Lepisosteus oculatus: one gene and its partner. The protein of the gene in region 2 purifies or fractionates together with the protein of the main gene of each other region. This does not show direct contact. Links are inferred from orthologs where the notes say so. Each region holds a gene or a part of one and is shown on either strand. Other genes may lie near its edges. The genes, in order: nudcd3 and klhl15.

Region 1 (12,378 bases), on a different chromosome or scaffold from region 2:
CCAGTGACACATGTACTAGAGGGCACAAGTAGATGTCACTTTAAGGTGTATTTAAAACCTGAGGCACGTCTTTATCCAAAGGCTGGTAGGAGTGTGGAACAAGTTACCTAGCCTTGTGGTTGTGGTTTCTTTCAAGAAAAGGCTGGATAAATTAACTACTGTCTACTTAATAGGCTGGATGGGCTGAACGGCCACCTTGTTTCTACTATTGTAATGTTCTTCAAATCTTTTGACAGATGTGCTTGTCCTACACTTCCTCCCAGGGAGAGAGGAGGACCAGGGTCCACAGCCTGGGCCTGCGCTGCTCCCGCCACCTAGTGGACACATTCCGCAACAGCCAGGCCGAGACACTGCTGAGCTTCTACTGCAAGAGAGGTGCAGTCTGGTTTCTCAGTCTCCCTTTCTGTATTGGTCATTTGTGTTTCTCTTTTCTGCCATTTTGACATGTTTTTCTTTCTCTTCGATTTTATTCCTTGAATATTTTTCCCCCTAGATGTTCTCATTGCAGTCATTTTACCCCTTTACTGTTGCTTTAATGCAGCTCTGATCAGTGTGCCTGTGTACTGCATGTCTAAGAGTACTCTCCTAGGCTGATCTGTGTATCTGTCCGCAAGCTTACTGCGCCGTGCTGGACAGGCCTCTCCAGGCTGTGAGAGACGAACTGGTCACTGAGCTTACAGAGGCCCTGGCCTGCTACCGGCAGCACTGCTCCTCCACTGCACTCACACATGGACAGGTGGGAGAGGGGGGCACGGCCAGAGAGACAGAGCAACTGCTTGCATATAGTGTGCGTCTTAATGCTGTGCACCTATTCATCCTGTCCTTTCGTGTGTGTGTGTGTTAGCTGGTGCTGCCCCAGTGTCTGAAGGCCCTCCCAGTCTATGTGAACAGTCTGCGCAAGAGTGAGGTCTTGTTGCCCGGACAGCGCAGCTCCGTGCCACAACGACTGCAGCTGCGTGGCCAACTGGTCGCCATGGACCCGGCCCACACTGCCGCTTACTTCTATCCTGAGCTCCTCCCACTGGTGAGACTTGCCACACCGGGGGCCACCTGCAAATGAAGGCGTGGGCCCTCTGTGTGGAGCGTGCATGGTCTCTCCTTGGCCATGAGGGTTTCCTCCCTCGATACAAAGACACAGTATGGCTAAATTGTTCCCCGTGTGTGTGCCTCCAATGGACTGACGGTTATGGACAATGGATGGTACTTCTTTGAAAGAATCCAGAAAACTGGACCAATGTGCATCTACATCCAGAACAATTCCTTCTTTCATCTCAGGGTTCAGACACCACTGGTGAATTCTGTACACCTGCATGAAGCTGCAAAAACCTGGTCATAAGTTCTAATAGCAACCAAGACAACAGGAAAGGGTGTCTAATCCTGCAATTTTGCATTCCTACTTGGCCATTAGGTGCCCATTTCTACTAATTACTGGCTTAATTGGGCCAATTTAACAGAAATTCGTATGGTGCTAGTGACTTGGGGAGACTGCAGCTGTCACGTACCAGGACAGAACACCCCTGCAGCAGGTCCTCTTGACTGACGACTGGTGTCTGTCTGCATCTGTCTCTCCCTGTGCCCCACTCTCTCTGAAACAGCGATTCTCTCCCTGTGCCCAGCCCCTGTGTGAGCAGTCTGTTGGCGATGGTGCCCCTGCAGCAGCAGTGCGTTGCTCAGGGAGCAGTCTGGACTCACGGGGGCTGTACCTGGCCCACAGCTCCCTAGCCCTGCTGCTCTGGGTGGGGGAGCACGTCCCGCTGTCTGTCCTCTCCCAACTCTTCAACGCCAGCTCCTTCAGCCAGCTGCCCTGCGGAGAGGTCAGGAGCCGACACCGCCGCCCGCTTTAAAGAAACATTTCCTCGATTTGGAATTTGTAGTGAAACCCGGTCTTGTCTCTTCTGCAGTGCTGCCTGCCCACCCTGGACAACCCCTTGTCCCTGCGCGTGAGGGCAGTAATCGAAACCCTGAGGTCATGCACAGCCTTCACCCTAAAGGTGGGTGCCACGATGGTACTCTCAGTGCCACATCCTTGATTACACCTACACTGGCATCATCCGTGTATCTACCGACACACGCAAACCAAATGATGGCAAGACATCTTGTTTGCCACCAGTCAAATAAGCAGTGTTTTTGCTACCAGGCCTGTTTGTGTGTCCAGCTGCAGGTGGTGAAGCAGGGAGACCACAGTGAGGAGGCTCTCCGGCACCTGCTGGTGGAGGACAAGAGCCCCAACGGCGGGGCGTCGTACCCCGACTTCCTGTATCACGTGCACATCAACTCCTTGCAGCTGCTGGCGTGAACGGCAGCCGTCTCTTCCTCTTCCTCTTCCCCTTCCATTTTGCAGTTCAGAAGAAATCAAACAGCCAACTTGCAGTCCAACCCAGTGGATGATTTGGCACAAGCTCCTTATTTCTTTGTTCATCTATTGATCATTTTAAGGAGGGGGTTGCACCGGAGAGCTGCACTGGAATGGATGTAAGGCTCATTTTACCAGCACAGCTGTGCTTTCTCTTACTAAATGTCCTGTCCAAACATTCCCCATTGTTCATCCCCTAAACCAGGGCTCTAAAATTAAGCTGGTGGTGATTGGGGGGGAGGGGGCAGTGTCTCTTTTGTTCTGAGCTCTCCTTTTCATTATTTGGGAAATTGTAATACTTTTATCTAGGCCCAGCAACATCTAGGTCCTGCACCTGGAATGAAGGGTTTGGGAACCAACTGGAACTGGAAACATCTAGGCCCTGCAAGTGGAATATGTGTTTTGTCAAATCTGAGGAAATAACCCTATTAAAGGAGAACTCATGATGAGTAAGAAATGACACGGGCAGGCAGAAAAGCCTCCCAGTTTGAGTCTGAGACCCCTCCCCTCTCTCCTCCTGTCTGCCCCACCACATCTCGCTCTGTTTTTGGAGCAATTGCCCCTCACTGGGTTTTTCATTTCTTCTCTGAAAATAAAAAGCTTTCTGGGAACAGACACTGCCGTGTGTCGTCATTGCGTGACAGAAAAATGACAAAAACAAGAAGTGGTGTTTTTTAGAATCCAAACACCGGTCTGTTTAGCTACATGTTCATCCACAGAGGCTGTTCATATGCTAAGCATGTTGCAGATACTCCAAATGTAATTAAAACAATGCACAATATCTGTGCATCTCAAGAATTTTACAGTCCACATTTCAGTTTCTCACTCCCCTATAGAGTGTTCTGTACACTCAGTCGGCCCTGCACACATATGGATACCACTTCAGCACACGCTGACCTCCGATTTCTTACAAACCATTTTAAACTGAGTACACTAATAAGGCTAATGCAGAATATATTTCTTTCAGCTATTTTCATTATATACACAAATGTGTTTATGTAAAGTATATGCATGGTTTCAACTAATACATTCCTCTTGATGCACATGTGGAGAGCTTCTTTTTTTTCCCCCCCCAATGAAGGTAGGCTGCCTCCTGTCCTTGCTCACTGTTTAAACGCTTGAGGCATACTGAGTACAGGTCATGAGGCAGACAACAGAGCTCTGAGACGTTTATAACTGGCTTCCCTGTTCAGAGGTATTTATACACAGCCTTTTGCTGGAGGGTCTGCACCTCCATCTTGACAGGGCACTTACAAAAATGGGAGAGCAGTGTCTCTGTGTAGCCAATCAGGAAATAGCACTTGTGAGGTGGGAGCTTCTGCAGCAGCAGGGCGCAGATCACCAGCAGGTTGCCGCGGCGCTTGATGATGAGCTCATTCGCCAGGCAGCCGTGGAAAGTTCCAGAGATGAATCGCCGCACGAAGACGTCCTCAATGGTGCGCTCAGCGGCGCCCCCTACCCCATCCAGGTTACCTGGGGAACAACAATGAGTGCTTTAACTTGACCACAGGAGTGGGACAGCAATGGGACATTGTGGAGAATGACAGCTAAAAAATATACATGAGGAGACGATGAATAAATGTCAAAAAGAAAACTTGGCTCCAAACAAAGATGGCTGAATTATGCAATGGGCAAGTCTGAGTATGGATCTGCAAACCCAGTGGAAACACTCACTGGTGTGCTGGGACAGCCAGCCCTTGCGGTGGGCAATATAGTGAGGGGCCAGGGCCTGCTCGTACGTCACCGGATTGTCACCCTTCCCAACTCGCACTCGTGCTGCACGATTCTGGAAACAGGCAGAGGAGAAATCAGGAGATGAGAAATACCATAAGACAGCTTTCAGTTAATGCTGAACTCCCTCTCTGAAAACAGGACTTTACACATGAGCTAAAAAACACCCCTGCTGCCATATCTGCCTGCTGACCACTAGGGTGCAGCCTTACTCCGTTGTACATTGAGAGAGAGAAGTTTAATCAGGTTAATTTTTTGTTTATCTCAAGCACGGTTAAATGAAAGCCATTTGAGGTCATCTAGAATCACACTAACATTACTCTGCACTGACCATGTCGATGTAACCAAATCTAGAGGACTTAACACCAAGGCATATTGTAAAATTTGCCACCTGTGGCTGTTATACACTTTTACTAGCCAAATTAATCTTCTCATTATATGACAAAGATACAAACAGTTCAGCGAATCTAGCACATTTTTGAACAAATATTATTGCTATTCCAACTGGTGTAAGTTTTAATACATGATTGCTTTAACGTTTATTAGTACAATTAGTACTGTGGCTACAGTTACTAGTAATAAATTCAATGGGACTACTGGAACCTCTTACCTTGAAGCACACTGCAGTGGTCTGAATTGCTCGTGTTCCGGGAACACATCGAACTGCACTGTTGGCCTGGGCCAGTGGGATCTGTGGGGGCAGAGAGAGAGAAAAAGAGGACACACTGCCTATCAGCCAATGAAGAGGGAAGTGAAAATGACTGTCTGTTTCACACTCCCAGCAGATACTTTTGTATTATAGGTAACACTTTACAACGAGTCTCTGTCTATATTTAATTCATGATTAACGGGAAGTCAAATAAATTACTGAGGTGTACACTGAGCCAAGTCTTTGTATATCGACTGCTTGGCAAATTATGTATTGCTTCTTACATTGTCACATTAAAATGTTTCTTGTAAAGTTACTCAATTATCAGGGACTGGTACTGAAGCACGATCAGCGATAAAGATTAATGTGCAACCAATATGTTTGGTTCCCAGTGACAAAAAGTCCTGCCAGTGTAAAATATGTTTAAAGGGATTTATGTAAAAATGCCTACAAACTACTGTCTGCCATAAATGACCAATTACCACAGAACACTACTATTTAGAACTACAGAACTACCATCTTCTACGTAGTGTGTTTACTTAATGCTATTGCCTTTATACTGAATTAAAGGTTTATTTTCAAGAAGCGAAATATGTCATCGAGACTTTTGCCATCTGCAGTGTATTACCACAAGATAAAAACGTTTAATCTAAAGCTTTTTTCCACTCAATAATTGTAAAACACTCCTGTCAAATGTGATGGATTATATATCGTCCATCATGCTGTACAACGCAAATACAAATCCCTCAATTACAGTTACACAGATTTTAATTTAGAAAGCCTGGACTATTTTATTGATTAAATCATTTGCAAATCCTTTCAGAATCTGCCCAATTAAACGTGTCATTCAGTGTACACAAGCAATAACACAGTTTACAAGATCCAGCAGTAGATATCACCTAATATCTGAAAAGCCAACATATTTCCTCATTATATTACACGTAATTGTTTTTCGTTTAGGGTTCTGTACCACTGTTTTAATTAATTAACTAGATCTACACGACTACTTGAAAGATTTCTAAAGGCTTTCTTACCAACAGCTTCACAGATCGACTACAGAAGGACGTCGCCATCTTGAAACACGCACTGATTTCTGGGAGCAAAGTGGCTATAAAAAAAGAAATATTTTATCTCTATAATTTGCTGTAAATATAATATATGTATTCAGATACAAAAATAATCAAATGCATAAATACATTTTATACTGTTTCTTTTTATTAATTACCAAGTATAATTTCCATATTTACTTTTTATTGTACGAGTGGTGTTCTGATTAAATGAGTCCGTGGAGTTGTTTCCATACATACCTAGAATGTTCTTTTCCGAGGCAATAATTTATTCTGACAGTATTTTAAAAATGTTTAATTATTGTTAAAGGATACATTATAAATTAATTATAACTTAATAATATAACTTAATTTCTTCATAAATGTGAATGTAATAGTTAAGCATACGAAAATGTTAAGTTTCAGTTATGTTCATTTGTAACTTAAAATTACGTTAGAGACGCGTTTAAGTATTTCTCGGTGATGAATTTTTGAATGTTACAATGCCTTCATTCCTTTTTAAAAAGTGCTGACATTTTTTGTTGGGTGAGCGTAAAATTATAAGAGGCAATCGGGCAGGGCAACTTCGTTGTTTTGCGTTTCCACACGGACTGTAAAACGCGAGTCAACAAGAAGCAGGCGAAACCGTAAACCGTATAGACAGAGCAGTGCGTCAGAAGGGATATTTTGAAAATATCGTAGTAAACACCTACCATAAGTGTGCAGTACAAGTGCTTTTTATTTGCGTCGTGTGTGTTACTTCGGTTGTTTACACAATGTCTTCCCAACTGGAGATGACTGAGCTGTACGACAATGCTCTGCTGGGGATACTGCAGCACGTCGGAAACATACAGAATTTTCTACAGGTTTATTTCGGGTTTCTCTATCGAAAGACAGATTTCTACAGGCTGTTAACGAGCCCCAGCGATCGCATGGGTTTTCCTCCTGGGGTCGCCGAGAAAATGGTGCTTAAGGTAAGGTGAAAGTAAATTTTTAAAAACGATACAAATAAAAAAAAAGTTGTTAAACTATGGGATAAGTGCATAAAATAGGAGCGACTTCTCTGGAGCTTTCGGTGTTCCATCAAAAAGACTTATTGTAGTTATGTATGAGAGCACCACTCTGCGCAGATTTTGGAAAGAAACTTACCTGGTGTGTTTCATTGTTTATGTTCTAAGATTATCTCGGTGTACAGCTGGCTCTAGTCTGTGTTGTTTGAAAGTACAGTTACCTAGTGAAGGATTTCAGACAACAGTTTCTTAAGAGTTTACATTTTTTAATTGCCTTTTGCTTTGTCTATTTGTTAACCCGGAAAATTCGCGTTTTGGTGGTTTTAAGCGGTTTAATCCATTTCTCGAAAGGCTTGGAAGAAAACGACGGTGATTTGGGACAGTCTGTGAGACGCATAATTTCGTGTTTTAATTAACTAAAATGATACAAATGTATCTGGAAATCTTTCAATAAAATATGTTTCGGTTAACTTTTGTTTATGTTAACACTATATGGCATTTAGAGAGTTTTTTTTTTATATTGTCGTCGTTTAAAAGCAGTTTTGTCCCTACAAGCGTATTCTTATATACATTCATAACCATAGTGTTTTGTATTAATGCCCTATAGAGGTACATTTATAACTCCTGGTTTCAGGGTCCGTGGGCTCAATTTCTAACATCCACAGAAACAGAGCGCATGATGGAAGCTCCTAATGCCCACGAGTTGTCTACCTGGTGGTATTCTGCAGCGTTTCTCCCAGATAAAATAGAATCTCAATAAAATTCTGGTTTAATAATGAATTCCAACAAATCAAAACGTGTGTTGTGCTACAGCCCCCTATTTATTTGTCTTTTATGTGGAGCAGAAAACACTAGATCGTTAAAAAATGCATTTGCTGTTGTACTTGGGCCAAATTTAGTCATTAAATGCTATCTCCACCAACAGTCACTGGCAATGCAAAATATATACTTGACATAACAATTTGCGTTACCTGTATGTTTAAGTAGTTGTCTGTCAGACTTGTTTTCACATGTTAATCAATACCACCACATATCTGCCAGTAATCGCCCCCCCCTGCAATTCTGCTTGAAGGTATGGAGTTTGCCCCTTGAAATGTAAAGTGAAATATACGTAAGAGTGTGCTTGAGGGGAAAGAGGTGATGAAGACATCTGGTTAACCAAGCATGCCTCTGAAAATCCTTTTTGGAGATTTCCAGATTTGTTATAGTTTGTGTTTAGGGCCATCTGACACGGCAAAAGGTTGTGATGAACACTTTTGTGATAGGGATGTGTACTTAGATGATTCGCTGTATTACATCGGCAAGATACCAATAAGAAATGAGACTTGCTGCAGCATTAATCTCAAATCCAAATATTTTCCTTTGTGTTGCCTCCCCAAATACCTGAAGTGTCTCAGCATTCCTCTCTTCTCTGTCATTTCTCTGCCCAGACATTCAAGGTGTTTGAGCGCCTGGCAGCGCAGGACAGAGAGCAGAGCTTGCAGGAGGCAGAGAACAAGGGAAGGAAAGAGGCTCCCCCTGCTGTGGAGGAGGTGGTGGTACAGTCTGAGGCAGAGGTCCAGGTGCCAGTGCCAGTTCCAGAGAAGGAAGTGTCAACACAGCCCTCACCCCCCTTACAAGAGCAAGTCCAACCCCCCTGCCCAGACCCAGCCTCTGCTGACAACATCCCACCAACAGAAGGAGCTCAGGCCATGCCCATTGCAGAGACAGATGACACAGAGAAGTGAGTGTGGGCACTTCTTATCCCCCACAGAGGACGTTTACTCTGCACAAATGTGTTATAATAAGAAGCAAAGGTTTGGTGCATTGAGGGTGTCATAATTTTTGCTTGGATGGGGAGAGCAAAGAAATTGAAATAGTGGGGAATTTGGTGTATGCCGTTTAAAGTCTAGCATGAAATCCAATATTAATAATATTTGGCCTGGGGCTTTTTTGCATCATGACAAAAGCCGTCAGACTGCATTATTTGTTAGACTGGCTGCAACACAGCTGGAGATGAAAGCTCACACAATCATCAGTGTGGATTTCACAGTTTCCCAAGTCATGCTCCTGCAGGCATCTTTGTCAGTCTTTATGGCATCTTTGTCACTCTGATAGCTTTAGTCACTCGTGTATGCATCTATCCAGCACTCCACAGTCCACAAAAAGATTGCACACAAAAAAAAATCTCTTGTGTTTCCTCAGTTACTTTTAAAAGTACAATTTTGAAGTGTCTTAGAGAGAACCACTTTTCAGTCTCATCTCTGGTATGTGTGCCCACTTATTTGCCTGTGTGTAGTTGTAGTTAGCCTGTTATATTTTTGAGTTTGTTGTTTTGGTTGTAGCAGTGTGACAACCATCCTGTATTGTGTGTTTTATGTGCAGGGTACAGGAGCAGTTCCAGGGCAATCCTGATAGTTACAATGGAGCAGTGAGACAGAACTACACCTGGTCACAGGACTACACTGATGTGGAGGTCAAAGTGCACGTTCCCAGCACCATTCGCAAGGGCAAGCAGGTAGGCTAAATAAAAGAGGCAGACGCAGGTAAAACCTAAAATCAAGGGACATTTCAATACTCAAGAGAGAGAGGAGTACACTGACAGAAGTATTAGGGTTTATAGGGGTACACTGAAAGAGATGGCAGTATGTCACTCAGAAGAAGAGGTGGAGGAAAGGAGAAGTAATGAGACAATAAAAAGAAAGAGAGGCACACAGAGATGCAGGTAGTTCTGGATTTATTTAGTGTTTTTAACATAATTATTAATGAGGTAGCCATGTTGCTGGAACAGTATGCTGACTGAACGTTTTTCAGGACACCAAAACAGAATACCCCTTTTACGCCAATGACATAATCCTGCTGTTGCTCGCTAAAACCACTGCTAGATCAGTGCTGTCAGAGTTGGACTGGACTGTACCATAATGCCTAATTTCATCCCTCTGTTACCACCTAAAACCTTTTACCAAGTAGGTATTTTGAGCAAATTAATAATGAATGTTTTCATGAAAGCATAGGAGTGATAAAACAGAAAATCCTTAACAAATAAGAAATACAATTTTAATTTTATTATAACAATTCTTTTGAAGAATATTTTTTTTTCAGACATAGGACTGAAGTTCTTGAATGTTGAGTAAGTGGATGGTACAGGCAGAAACCATGGAGTAAGTTCTAGAGTTACCCAGGGTTAAACTTCCTGCAGTGGATACAGGATCCTTGTCTGCCTGACCCAGCGATCATGAACCTGATGACGATTTCTTGATTCTTGTAATCACGCTTCACAGTATTGCCTGCCAGCCAGGCTTGATCATATACCCCAGAGTACTTTCCAGATGGATACTGCTGAATCATATTTGGAGCCCCTACTGTCATGGATTAATGTCCCTGTAAAGTCTGAGAATTTGTGGAACATCCTCAGCTTGCAGTGAAAAGAAGGTTTGATGATGAAAGTGAAAGAATACTTTAACAATTAGCAACCAGAAAGGTTAGATGGGTTGAATGTTTGTAATCTTGTGTTCTTATGCTTGTTTTAAATCTTTTTAGGAACCCATTTTTGACGATAGGAGCAACTACGATATTGGAGGTCAACAGTAACTTGGTAGCAGAATCAGTATCACAAATTTAACACATTTTTAAAAGAGGAATTTAACACATTTTTATAATTTTAGTTTTGACGATTTGTTTAGTCACATTTTACATTTTTTCTCAGTCTAAGCTCATTGTGCAAAACTGTATGTGGTTTGTGTTACACGTACTTTGTTTGTCTGGAGGCCACAAATTACCAAATTTCCTCCCACATTCCAAAGACATACTGATTAGGTTAATTGGCTTCTGGGAAAATTGACGCTGGTGTGTGTGTGTGTGTCCTGCAGTAGACTGGCTTCCAATCCAGAGTGTATCCTACCTTGCACCCATTTCTTGCCAGGATAGAATTTTAGCTTCCCCATGACCCTATATGAGAAAAAGTGATTAGAAAATGGATAGAAAAACATGAGTGAGCTCCTATCCAGTAAAAACAGTAAGATTATTTTTGATACTGACTGAGGTTCAAACATTCATGTCTTGTTTGATTTTGGTTGCTTCTATGTCAGTTACTTCTGACAACAGGGCAAAGGGGACTTTGATGTCTGAGCCCTATACAGAAAAAGTTAATATTTAACATTTCACCACAGTTCTTACAGTGTTGTCTTCCTGAAACGGTTGACACACATCCTTTGTCTTTATTTCCTCCTCTCTCCTCATTTCTCCTGGGGCCAGGTGTCAGTGAATCTACAGCCAAACAGCCTGCGTGTTTCTGTGATGGAGATGGGTGTGGAGACGGTGCTGATGGAAGGAACTCTCACTCACAAGATCAACACGGAGAATTCACTATGGAGCCTGGAGCCTGGGAGCTGTGTGCTGGTAAGATGGACACTTCATCATAGTACAGTGCACAGTCTTGAAACTCACTGTAACTCCTGTAGTTCATTCAAACGCTGCAGTTTGCTGGAACACCCTGTAACACAGAGACATAGATGGTCTCCTGCCCTGTGACACTTTCCTTACTTTTTCTCTTCCTGCCCCAGCATTCAAGTCCGATAGATACTTGGCACTGCTCTTTCTTCTCTCTTTCTCTCTCCTTCACTCCCCCTCTCACTTCAGTAAGTGCAGTGAACATTGCTGTAGCTCCCTCTCACTCTTATCAATCTCTCTCTCCAGCTGTCTCTCAGCAAATGTGGAGAGTACTGGTGGTCAGCAGTGCTGCAAGGAGAGGAGGAGATTGATGTGAACCAGATTAACCGTGAGCGCTCTATGGCCACCGTGGATGAGGAAGAGCACGCCGTCCTCGACCGTCTCACCTTTGACTACCATCAGAAGCTGCAGGGCAAGCCACAGAGCCACGAGATGGTGCGTACTCTGCTGTTGTTCACGCCTCGTGTCTGCAGGCTTACTTGCATTCCTTGTGGCCAAGAGCCCACGTGCAATCTGAGTTGTTGTGACCTGTTGTGTTAAAATGTAATTCCTTCAGACACATCCATGTATCCATTCTTTCATCATCATTATTCACAGCAAAATGTGGGAAGGTTTGGAGGATAATGGGAAATTGAGAATGTGGCAAGAAGACTGACGTCACAACTACTTAGAACGCACACAGATATCTGTCCACTTGAAGGATTCACTTGTATTCATCCCAGTTTGCCCTAAAATAGTGATGTAGTGATCCACACTCCACAGGCACGTTTTGTGTAAAGATGTGCTTTTTATTGTGATTACCACAGTTTTAATAGACAATGGAATTGATTTACCCCTGTAGTGGTTTGTCAGGATTATAAAGAAAAAAAACAATCGCCTTATGTGTCATTACTGACATACTGGCAGTTTATTTAGAATATTTATATTTATACAGTCATTGTCTTGCAGGGACATAATCAGGGAAGACATGTGGAAATGAAGAAGAGTTAGGGCTTAGCTCTTTTCACAGAGAGCTGGAGGTTTTTGAAACACGTTTCCAGCAGTTGAAAATTAACTCTCTTATGAAATTGCTCTGTTTTCTGTAGCACACTAATCTTTGTACTAGTTCACCTCAGGTCTGCATCATTCACATGACCAGGTAGCTACATACAAGAGCGAATT
Region 2 (12,447 bases):
TTTTCTTGGGGTGGGGGGGGGGGGGAATTCCAACGGCTGGGTTTTAAAATACAAGGGGGTCCCGGACACAAACAGCAGGAAGCGGACATCCGCTCCTCAGCTGCAGCGTCGCACGTGTTCCAGTACGTACTCGGGGAAGTGCAGACTGCACACCTGCAAGCCGTCCAACTTGCAAGGCATCCTGGGGTACTCGTCCTCCTTCCACTTGTTCTCCTCGGGGTCAAAGGTCAGGATGGAGTCGCTGTAGTGCCCGTTGTAGCACAGCCCCCCCAGCACCATGATCTGCTTATCCAGCACGGCCACGCCGTGCCCGCTCCTGCCGATGGGCATGGAGGCCAGGATGGTCCACTCGTCCGTCTCGGGGTCGTACACCTCCGTGGACGGGCAGCCCTGCGACTCGAAGGAGGCGCGGAGGATGACGCACACCCCGCCGAAGACGTACAGCTTCCCGTTGTAGGAGATCATCTTGTGGAAGCAGCGTGCGTAGTTCATCTTGGACTTGTTCTCCCAGCAGTTGGTGACGACCTGGGTGCGGCGCGTGCGGTGCTCTGTCAGGCCCTCCTTGCTGGGGTCGAACACGCACACCTGCTTGGAGGTGGAGGAGGACGTGATGCCGCCAGTGATATAGAGCTTGCCGTTGAGCACGGTGCCCTCGTGGCCGTACTTGTTGACGGGGTAGGGGTCCACGAACTCCCACTTGTCCTCCACGATGTCGTAGCGCTCCGTGGAGTAGAAGGTCTCGTCCCGCGTGCGGCCCGCCACGGCGTAGATGTACTTCCCGATCACGCCCACCGCGAACTCGGAGCGCGGCACCGACATGTCGGCCATGCGCAGCCAGGAGTTCTGCCGCGGGTCGTAGCGGAACACCTTGGAAGAGGCGTGGAACTCGCCGTCCGGCCCCAGCTCCTCCCCGCCCAGCAGGAACACGAAGTTGTTGACGATGGCCAGGCAGTCGGGGCGCAGCGGCACCTGGGGCCCCTCCAGCTCCCACCACACCTTGGGCTTGTGCAGCAGCAGGATCTTGCTGTTGACCATGCTGTGCCCGATCATCCCGCGGAACACCGCGGTCTGCGGCCGCACCGAGCGGATGCGGTTGGACTTCATCTCCAGCAGGGGCTGCTCGTTCACGCCGTGGAAGTAGTTGAGCGCCTGCTCCACCTCGTGCCTGAGCTGCCGGGAGTAGCGGTAAAACTCGGAGGTCTTCACCTGCGCGAGGACAGAGGACGCGTGAGTGGGGGGGGGGGGGCCTCGCCAAGAGGTCAAAGGGCGGGACAAGGTAGCACTTACACACCAGCGATCAGTGCTTGTCCAGCAGTCACGGAGAAATATTCCCCCAGGAAACAAAATACTTTGGATTTCATCCCACGTTTTTGGTTAAAAGGAAAGGGTAATCTCAATTTAACCGCAACAGATTTTTTGTAAAAAAAACTAATCTTTCAACCATTTCCTGCAACGAAACATTCCCTATTTCATTCGGAGATGTTTTTTTTTTTTTAAAGAGATGACTATGCTGACAGCCTGTCCATCCCTTCTGCTTAAATACTGAAAAAATACTTTCCGTGCAACTTCATTCCTTAGGAAAGCGCTGTAGACACCATTAATCATAAGGTCTGCTAGAGAAGAAATAACATGAAACTGGATAGAGAAACCCACTGTGCAGCAGTTTAACCTACTCTGGGTTTCTTTTCTGAAGTCCCGGCCAATAAATAACCCAATGGACAGGTACTGGGTATTTCAAACTCAAGCAATCATACTTACATTTAAATAAAAACAGATATTGCTACCATAACATTAAGAGGTGCTGAATCTGAAACCTGTCAAGACTGAAATGCATCAAGCCCGGGGGCAGGAAAGGTAGTTTAGATTGTAGGCAACAAATGCTTACTGAGGGCCGAGATCATTTGGGACAAATGCGGCCCACAGATCTTCAACCTACAAAGGGCGCAAAGGACAAATGACGTCCAGCACTTCGGTGGACAGGACGGCAGGAAGTGAGGCTACAGTCCTCATGGGAGTTGGAGACCAATGCCTCTCGCGACAAGGGGGGGGAAGAAAAGGGAAAATGTAAATGAGTAAAAAAAAAAGCTACTGCCTGAGAATAAATAACCCTCTTGCTTCATTTATCCAGCAGAGCTGATACGGCCCACTGGCACTGAGCTTGACAGGAGCCAGAGTCCCATGGCAGAAGGATCGCTGCTCTCTCAGTTAACCACAAGCATCGTGCTGCAGGGCTCCCAGCTACCCAAAAAAGGAAAAACAGGCTTCTTGAATCAAAGTTGACTTCATCGACAACAAATGCAAAGGCCCAGAACGCTGTAACCATCACTGATATTTTGTGCTCTGCTCTTTGGCATGACAGGGTGCTGCAGCAGATTGTATAGCCACAGCAGTGCATGATGCTTCGGGGATTTACTGTTGCGGCGCGAGATGCAGTAAAAGGCGACAAGGCGGTCCTACCTTCTCGAACACGTGGGAGGGCGTCATCAGACAGAAGCGCACGTTCTGGATGACGGAGTCGGTGTGGCGCCAGCGGCGGCGGTCGTGCCGCAGCCAGGCCTGCACCGCCTCGTAGAGCTCGATCTCGGGGAAGCGGCTCAGCCGGTCGCTGTCCAGGTACAGCGCGAGCTTCTCGAAGCTCAGGTAGGACAGGAAGTCCGGCCGGGACATGAGCGGCACGAAGTTCTCCAGCAGGAAGGCGTCCAGCTGCTCCTGCACGCCGTCGATGTTGACGCCGAAGTCGTCCAGGAGCCGCATGACCTCGGCGCAGTTGTCCAGGCAGATCTTGGCCAGCAGGAAGGAGCAGCAGAACTCCACCACCTCCGTCAGCTGCACGTACATGGCGGCCTGCAGGATCTCGTGCACGGTCAGCATGCTCAGCTCCAGCTTGCCGTAGTACATGAACTGCAGCACGTGGCTGAAGCCCGTGGCCGTCAGCCCCTTCAGGTGGATCTTGTCCTGGTCGCGTTCCCGCATGTCGGCCGTGAACATGATGCGGAAGTAGTCGCTCTGCGTGGCCAGCAGGGCCTTGTGCGCCTGGAAGTGGTGCTCCTCGATGAGCAGCGTGACGTCCAGCAGAAGCCGCTCCTCGTACAGCGCCCGGAAGCCCGACGACACGCTGCTGTCGTGGTCGCAGGAGATGAACACTTCCACGTCCGCTGCCATTAATGACCTGCGGGGCGGGCGGACAGGCAGCGACAGCAATCAGGACCGGGGGCGAGGGCAGAGACGACGCTGTCCGCGCAGCCTGGGCTTCAGGACAGCTGACCGGGCTTTACTCGGACAACATCAGAAGCAAGTTTACTACCTGGGCCATAACAGCAACAAAACGGAAAAAGAAAAAGGTCTGGATCTCTACTGTCCCTACCGGCAGTGCTGAAATAGCTGGGCAACAAGATGACTTTAATCAGCCTGTCCAATCCAGTATTAACACCAGAAGCAATGGTTAATGCATGCTGGTTAAGCTAAATCATCACTGCTGTGCGAGTAAAATGCACATTTGATTTTTTCTGGTCATTTTTACATTTTTAATCCCGGCCCAGCAGGGAGCGGAGGTGGGGGAGTCTGTTCTGATGTGGAGAGACCCGAGCACACAGCTCTGTAAGATAAGGGGGGAAAGGAAGCTTAGAGCTGAAAGTCATTAGACTGTGCGCCTTTATGTTAGTCAATTCATTAGCAATCTCTAATTACAGCTAACGGGGTGAATAAGTGTTTATTCAATTCAAATATGGTAATATTGATGAGAGCGTGTATTTCCAAAACATACACACCTTACTACAGAATAACCTTGTTTTCAAATTTCAGGTTCCGGTACTTCCTGTCAATACTCTATTGGTGACAGGGCCTGCTCCTGTTAACTCTCTCCCCAAGGATATCAGAGAGTCACCTCCTCTAAACTCCTTCAAATCCAGACTCAAACCCTTCTTCTTCAGAAGGGCCTTTACTTCACTGGTTCTGTTCTTCACCCCTCTGCTCCTGCTGTATCCAGTACCCCCATCTACTGTCTCCTCTCATTGTGTATATCTTGTGGATTTTTGTATTGTTGTTGTCTTTCTGTAAAGCACTTTGAGAAGGTATATAGTACCTTTAAAGGTACTATATAAAATAGTTTATTATTATTATTATGCCTGCAGCAGCAAAATGAAATAACTCTGGTGTCCCAGGTTATGCAGCATGATACTTCATAGCTTTACGTTGTTAACCACACGCAAAAAAACACTCATTTGTAAGCTATTTGAAAATGACAGGAAAAAAATCAAGAACCGCAGCTACTTAAAGAAGATGAGAATGGGCCTTAGTTGCTACAGACTTGAATGTGTTCACAATGGCACAGGTGAGAACAGTCCAGCAGCCTCAGAGAAGGCCAGACTCTCAGCAGTAGGGAGACTGAAATACTACCTCTTCGGTACATCCAGGCCAAACGTGGGGTTTGCAGACTGTGTAATGTGGGGAAGCTCACATTTTCTCTGCTTGTGCTTTCCCTGCTCTGTGAATAAAGAGAGAGCACTTCAGTCTCCAGCGAGGGCGATAACAGCCCCTTTTCAGAGAGAAAAAAACATCACCAACATGCCACTACACTGTGACACAGAGACTGATTTGCAAAGAACATGCAACGCTACATTTAGCACGATAACACATACGCATAAGCGCAGCCTCGTTTTCACCTCGCACTTGAGAAGGCTTTTGTTTTTCTTTAAAATAGTTCAGTTTCCGATTCATGTTGCAGCAGGATGCTGGCCTTAAAGTCACACCACGTTACGATGCGCAAAGCTCGTACTTCAAACATTCACTCGGGGTGCAGTTCTGCTGTATAACATGTTGAAAAGAGGATAATTCAATCTGTTAAAAAGCCACAACATCCTCTTTCCAAGTCTTATTGTAATGGCTCCATTTTGAGCGTTTTGTTTTTTGCAACTGTCAATTCACGATCTCTTCCATTAACATCACGGGGAGGCTGGGACGATCCCATCGCGGGCTGGGAAACCTCATTGTGTAGCAAAGTTTACGTACAGAATCGCACAGCCCATGCCTGGGCGCCGGTATCGGGCTTTCCGAATTACCGACAATCGTGTCTCCTCTCGGTGTCCCATCTCAAGGTGCCGAACCCAATTCAGCAGGCCAGGTGTAAATAAGGGCACTCCCGTGTATGTGTGCTGCAGGTGGACAAGCTTCTTCTAGCACTGCCGACACGCTGGGGGAAATGCAAGACAGAATCTATCGGCTCCTACCTCGGCGATGCGACTCCACACAACCCCTCTTCGACCAGAGAGATCGGGCTCCTTCTGACATGGATTAAAGCTGTGTATCCGAAAACAAGGGACCGGGTTTTAAACACGCATGGCCAGCGACTCCTTTGTCGTTCTTCGCCTTTTTGGCAAAGCGCATTATTTTCAGTGGATATCCCGACAGTGTTTACCTCCGTCTTTCATGGCCAACACAGACGCCATGTTCTCGACTGCACTGACGTCATTTCCTGCGGCGGGGCTGGCCAGAGTCTCGTCGCCTCAGTCGTGGGGTCTCGGGTCCCAGTGCGGCGTTCTGTGGGCGCAAAGTATATCAAAACGTATGGGTACCCTGGCTTTGCGAGATTCTACGACTTTACATTGTTTTACAGTGTAAGTATGATAAAATAAGGGTTTTATTTAATAAAAAGCAGTTTCGTAATGAATAGTAATTTCTTACACTTCTATGGAGCTTTTCTGGACACTCCACTTGCAGTTCTTAACAGGTCATGGGGACTCACCACCACCGGTATGCAGCCCCACCTGGATAGTGTGCCGGCAGCCAGAGTTTGCCAGTCCACTCCCCACACACCAGCTCTCAGTGGGGAGAACAGAGTGATGAAGCCAGTTCAGTGAAGAGGCCATGATTGTGAAAGGTTTGGCCAGGACACCAGGGTAACACCCTGGGATTCTAAGTGACCACGGAGAGTCAGCACCTCGGTTTTAGGTCTCATCTGAATTAAGGTGCCTTTATTTTTAGTATAGCGTCCCCCATCACTATACTTGAGCATTAGGACCCACACAGACCGCAGGGTGAGCGCCCCCTGCTGGCCCCACTAACACATCTTCCAGCAGCAACCTTGGCTTTTCCAGGTCTCCCATCCAGGTAGTGGCCAGGCCACCTGGGTTGCAGGGTAATGCCCTGGGATAAAAAGCAATTTAGCACAATACAGGACTGAGTCATAGTCACCGAGCTTTTCCTCTTTTCCCGCCCTTTGTGTGTGTGTGTGTGGCAGTGTCCCGCTGTCCCTCTGCAGCTGTATTGCCTTAGAAAAAACATGGAAGCAATTTCCAGTAACGTACTACCGAGTCCAATGATTTCAACACAACTAACAACGTGACACAACAAATGCACGATTCGCTACATATTTAAAAGGTGGTTTTGTATATTTACGCCAGATTACTTTTTTTTCCGACTTTGTGTGCCTTGTTTGGTTTCTCATTTTTTATGCACAGAACTGTTCTACTGCCATCAGTCCACAACCATACGGAGTGACGTATTCCGTGACGTACTGAGAATATTGCATCACCCCTCAACCGAAGGACCCGCGCTCCCTTTGCAATAAAACTGCTTTAATCATCATATCCTACAAACCTGAAAAAGAGCGCCGGTTGATTCGCATTTAACCTCGGAGTGAAGGAAACCCAAGACATTTTGCCTATTTTTTTAAGTAGGGGACTTAAGGACTCCTCCATAAAAACAGGAAGTCAGGCAAACGCCTCGGACTACAACATTTCCCTTTTCGTTCAAGATGGCGGGCGACGAGTCAGGAGTAACGCTGGGGCAGCCTCATCTTTCCAGGCAAGATCTCAATACTCTGGTGAGTGCCAGCCTTTTTGTGAATGGGAGCCGGGCGCCGGCCGTCTTGACCGTCCCGGGATAGCCCCGACGAGAGCGGGGCGGGGGGAGGTTGGGTGGCCGAGGGGCTGGTGTCCGGGGCCGGAGCAGACCCGGCGTCGCGGAGCCGCACACGAGAGCGGTGCAGTCAGGACCCTACGGCAGCTCGGAGACGGCGTGGGTTGGGTGTGGGCATCAGTAAAACAGAAAAAAAAAAGATTAACGTCGTGCGGTCCGTTGTTTTGGGATTTTAAACTCCGTGTGAAAAAGCACGGATGCCACGCTCGACCGGTGTCGATCACTCCGTTGGTGTTCAGAGAACAGGGGGTAGTTTAACAATAGTGTCCTTTTCGGCGTTTGTTTTCGCAGACGTGTACGCCAGAGACCCAAATCCGTAGAGTCCTAACCGCCCGTCTTCTCATCGTCTGCGGAGCAGAAGTTATCGTTGATTTAAATAATGTGCCAACAACAAAACAGACGGGCTGATCCCCGTCTCTTTAGAAGGATAGAAAGGGGTTTGTCTGTTCACAAGCTGTGTCACCTACTGTGTTCCCCTCACTGTCTATAAAACCCAAGTCATCCGCTGTCCAGAAGCCAGCAAGTCATTTATTTTTTGTCGTTCTTTTTGAAATGACTGTCTCTGTGTTGACAGACGGTTTAATCATCTCTCCCTTTTACAGAATGTGGGTAAGCTAACTCCCCTCTCGCCAGAAATCATCAGTAGGCAAGCCACAATTAACATTGGTAAGTGACTGGATCTGTCCAGGTAGATGAAACCCTAACACGCTGTAGGTTGTAATAATAAGCACCAACAGGTGCACATTACAGGCCTGCTTTCTAGTTGGCAATTAATTAATAATGTTATTATTAATTGGTCAGTGCCTTTTGTGGCTTTTGATTACTTGTAATAGGTTCTGTCATGAAAAAGGTTTCAGTTCTTTCAGTATGTCAGTATAGGAGTTTCCCTTGAGCCTCAGCAGATTCTGCTTGCTCTTTTCTGGACTGACTCCAGAGTAGCAGTATTTTCATATATCATAGCCAAATGTTTACACAGTATTCTAAATGAATCTTTTTTAGTTGTTTTAATAGAACATTCCTGGAATTAAGTTCTTCAGTTTTAACTGTATATACTTGTTTGGTATCATCTGCAAACTCTATTAGTTTATTAACTTTATAGATCATTTATATAAAGTCCAAAGAGCACTGGTCCTAGTACAGACCCTGGCGGTACCCCCAACTGATTACATCACTTCAGCTTAGACTGTTCACCTCTGTTTCATGCCCTGTGTTTCTATTTAATAACCACTTCTCAATCCAGATTCATTTCCCTGAATGTCTGCTGCCTGCATTTGAGAATTAGGTTAGGAGGAACGTTATCGGAAGCCTTCTGAAAATCTCAGGGCAGTGCCTTATTTGCCCTGTGTGTATCTATTACTTTTATTGTTTGATCACTTGTAATCTAACAAGTTGGTTGGGCAAGACCTATGATTTCTACATCACGTGGGTTATTGGGTGGCATTGATTAGGGGGGCCTGACCTGTGCTCTCCTCTTTAGGTACAATCGGTCATGTAGCCCATGGGAAGTCGACAGTTGTGAAAGCGATCTCGGGCGTTCACACTGTCAGGTTCAAGAACGAGCTGGAGAGGAATATCACCATCAAGCTTGGCTACGCAAATGCAAAGGTGAGAGCGGTGTGTGACGGCTAATTGTGATGGTGGATGGCCTAACACGGTGGTTCTGAGCCCCTGTCTCATGGTACCCCAGTATCTGCTGGCTCTTGTTCCCTCATGGCCTTGAAACACTCGCAACCTTGAGTTCAGCATTGAATGACCCTTAACACACGCGGGCTCATGCGGCTCTCTACCTGAACCCCTTTCACGCTAGTGTTAAGTAGTGCTTGCAACTGGTGTTTGTTGGTTTAGACTTTCCTGCACTTAGTCCTTGGCTTCACAAGTACTCCAGCTCATCCAAATGTCTTACCTCGTCAGCGCACAGAACTTGATGCCGTCTCTCCTTATCTCCCACAGTGTCACAGAGTCAGTATTTTGGCTTGTCTCTTTATTTTTTTTGTATTTGCTCTTGCTATTGTAGGGATTGTCATAATTGCTTTATATTTACCATTTGTGTGATGTGTCCTCTAAGTTTTATCATTTTATGTTTCCATAAAGCACTGTGACCTACATTTTAAGGTCTGGAAGGTGCTATATAGATAAAGTTATTAATGCCCAATTGGTTATATATGAGCTTACGCACCTGAATGAGGGGCTGTCCTGAAAGTCGCTAATTAGGACAAGGTTAATACCAATTCCAAGTTTCATCCAGCATTTTAAGACCTGAAAGCATATTTAAAAAAAGCTTACTGAGCTTGGGCAAAATCCGGAAGAGACAGGCATTTTTAAAATTCCGGCCTGGCTGTATAGCAAAAAGCCTGCGCAAGTAAGCAGATTGGGATTAAGTGTCCATTGGAACAAAAAGTAACAGACAGAGCGTTACTCCAGGACTGGGAGGGAGACTGGGAATCCCAGTCCTTTCCTAGTACTTTTCAAACATGCAGTTATTTTAGTCTGTTTGTTTTGTCATGTTGGGCAGCGGAAGGGGTGTTGTGATCGTCTGAATGTCTGAAAAAGACTTGACATTCTTTTTTAAAAAACGAGCTGCGATTCTTTTTTTTCCCGTTGAAATGTACGTTTTTTTTATGTTGTATTTTACCGTAATAAGCTCCTTCTCAAAGTCCTTCAAACTTTTAAAATTATAGCATGGCGTGGCACGATTATAGTCCCAGAGCAGTTCTTTACAGAGGCGTACTTCAGTGTGAAAGTGAGACATTTTCATTTCATCCTCTCAGGTTTACAAGCTAGACGACCCCAACTGCCCCAGGCCTGAGTGCTACCGGTCATGTGGCAGCAGCACTCCAGACGAGTTTCCCACAGATATCCCAGGGACGAAGGGCAACTTCAAACTGGTCAGGTCAGTGACGGGCAGGCCAGCCTGGGAGCAACACAGCTGTATTGATCTTACCGCAGAACAGTCCTCTTTGCTTTGCCTGTACAGGAGAGTACAAATCCAGGTGGTTTTCATCCACTGCTGTAACCTTGATCTCATTTGTCTCCAGCTTCCTCTCACACACTGCCGTTGCATATAGTGTTATCAGTTTACTTGGCTGGTGTGTGTTATTTTTCTGGAGACTCTTGCAGGGTTTAAGGTTATCTCCTTTTTGCACGCAGTGCAGTAGACTGCCTGGATTCAGCGTGATGAGGTTTTTTTATAGCTCTTGCTTTGTTCGTGGTGTCCCAGCATGGCTGAACTTGGTGTCCCTCCCCCCGGCAGGCATGTGTCCTTCGTGGACTGTCCCGGCCACGACATTCTCATGGCCACCATGCTGAACGGGGCTGCTGTGATGGACGCCGCTCTGCTCTTGATAGGTAACGTTTCCCTCCATCCTGTCTTCTGTACAGCTGTGGTCCTCAGTCTGGGTCCTGGAGTACCTACCCCTGCTGGGGTTTGTAACAGCTGGGCCATTAATCACCTGGGCTCACTTTTGTTTGAACCCTGTGCTGATTAGTGACTTTTGGGGCTACTCTTATTCAGGTGTGTGAGCTGAAACTACCCAGGAGAAAAGACACTGACTCCCTGTGGGAGATGTCTGTTACAGGGTCTTTGTCACCTGTGTCTGTGCATCATCTCCAGTTACGAGCGGTTTAGTGAGAAATAATTAAGAAGTTGCTCCCTTAGCAAATTGAGGAGAGAGCATAAAGCTCTGTGTGTAGAAGTTGCTGGAAATAGTCTTCTGTGCTTTAAGGTATTCCATGCTTCATGATATATAAAACACTGTGCAGGAAAAAGACCGGTTTCAGGCACCCCTTAGCCCTAGTGATTAAGCGTGCAGGTGGACTGCTTGCTTCGGCGGCAGCACATATACTAAAATTGGAACAATACAGAGAAGATTAGCATGGCCCCTGCGCAAGGATGACACGCAAGTTCGTGAAGTGTTCCATATTTTTTCATGCCCCTCGGACCACACCTGTACCATCTACCTCATTATGATTTCTTATTTATTTATTGCACATCTCCAGTCTTTGTTTACACTCAAACTGTTCACTTGTTTACTTGTACATTGTCTACTGTTTGTCTATTGTCTTGATGCGCTGTCTGCACTTTGTTTTTGCGCTTGTTTTAACAATCGAGAGACTTCCTGTCAGTATGAATTCCATTGTACCGGTTACATATGGCAATAAAGCTCAAGTTCAAGTTCAGTGGACATAAGGTCCCCTTGAACCAGGACAGAGAACCACTGCTAGGCAGTATTTGGCTTTCAGGACGTTTTCCGTCTTACTGGTGACTGCATTGTTATTAAAGATATTTTGTAATGGTAAGAAGAAATGAATGTTGCTAAATCCACCATCGGGCTATTATTTTACGTCCTCCCCCCCCCCCCTCCTTCTCCCTCCCAGCTGGCAATGAGTCGTGCCCTCAGCCCCAGACTTCTGAGCACCTGGCTGCCATTGAGATCATGAAGCTGAAACACATCCTGATCCTGCAGAACAAGATCGACCTGGTGAAAGAGAGCCAGGCCAAGGAGCAGTATGAGCAGATCCTGGCGTTTGTGCAGGGTAAGGACTGGCCTCCGGCCCCCCGAATCGGGACACGCGTCTTATCTGTGCCTCTGCAAACTGAGTCATAGTTCTTTAGGTTGAACCTGCCGTCTTCAGATCACCCTACACAAGGCCGCTGAGTCTGGATGTATTCCTCTAATGTCCCAAGACCGTTTTCTGCATTAAGCCTTTCAGAATAAAAACAACATTTGGTGATAATTTAGAGACAGATTGATTCACATGCTAGTGAGCTGAACTGATCTGCTGGACTGATTGATTAACTCCCTGTCAGTTTGTTTTGTCCAGGGGTTGTCTAAACGTGAGTTTTAGTAGCCCGCGCAGTCACGCGGGGACAGCCGCTTCGCGCGCGGCGTCGATTCTCGCTCGCAGCCAGCTTGGTTTCCTTCGCGTTGACCGCCCTGACTGGACGTGCCGTTTCCTTTCCCAGGCACGGTTGCGGAAGGAGCCCCCATCATCCCCATCTCCGCCCAGCTGAAGTACAACATCGAGGTGGTGTGCGAATACATCGTGAAGAAGATCCCCGTGCCCATCCGCGACTTCATTTCGGAGCCCCGGCTCATCGGTAGAGACGCCCCCGCCGCCGCCGCCACCCTCTGGGAGAGCCTTTTGTTCCATCTGAGCTCCGTTATAAAGCCGGTCTAATGATTCAGCTAACAGCATAGTTGTCAATACTTCAGCATGGCTCTGAAGGAGTTCTGAAGTGCAGTTAGGTAACGGTGCTTCTGCGAATGTGCATTTTTCCCCAGTCATCAGCTAGAAGAGACCTTCAGATAAATCCTCTTTGTTTCCATTTTAAGAACATTAACTTAATTGTTTAAATGAGTGCTGAGGTTCCAGCAAAAAAAAACAACGGAGCACGCCAGGCCCTCCAGGAACTGAGTTTGACTCCTGATCTAGAGATATTAGGAGCAACTCACTGCAGAGATGTCTGAATTCAGACTCCAATATACTGATTTTTCCCTTAATGCAAATCGTTATTGAATATTTCGCTCCGTC

Evidence for each region.
Region 1: the proteins of klhl15 (region 2) and nudcd3 purify together in Homo sapiens (co-immunoprecipitation; 3 studies listed by BioGRID and IntAct, with this or other methods). This does not show direct contact. The link is inferred for Lepisosteus oculatus from reciprocal best matches to the Homo sapiens genes KLHL15 and NUDCD3.

Annotation. Positions count from the first base shown.
Region 1 is NC_090697.1:69,160,097-69,172,474, forward strand, and holds the start of nudcd3 (nudC domain-containing protein 3), read left to right. Parts: upstream 1-6,555; coding exon 6,556-6,753; intron 6,754-8,219; coding exon 8,220-8,512; intron 8,513-9,153; coding exon 9,154-9,286; intron 9,287-11,022; coding exon 11,023-11,166; intron 11,167-11,463; coding exon 11,464-11,652; intron 11,653-12,378. Other genes in the region: protein transport protein Sec24C, read left to right, coding at 237-375, 615-736, 845-1,024, 1,617-1,814, 1,902-1,991, 2,156-2,296; mrps24 (small ribosomal subunit protein uS3m), read right to left, coding at 3,543-3,826, 4,028-4,139, 4,695-4,775, 5,768-5,806.
Region 2 is NC_090700.1:4,340,077-4,352,523, reverse strand, and holds the start of klhl15 (kelch-like protein 15), read right to left. Parts: upstream 5,507-12,447; 5' UTR 5,287-5,506; coding exon of another isoform or gene 5,226-5,286; 5' UTR 4,717-5,225; coding exon 4,638-4,716; intron 4,484-4,637; coding exon 4,396-4,483; intron 3,305-4,395; exon of another isoform or gene 3,170-3,304; coding exon 2,458-3,169; intron 1,207-2,457; coding exon 97-1,206; 3' UTR 1-96. Other genes in the region: eif2s3 (eukaryotic translation initiation factor 2 subunit 3), read left to right, coding at 6,752-6,820, 7,518-7,581, 8,393-8,520, 9,684-9,805, 10,166-10,260, 11,290-11,448, 11,879-12,013. UniProt on the Homo sapiens protein: Substrate-specific adapter for CUL3 E3 ubiquitin-protein ligase complex.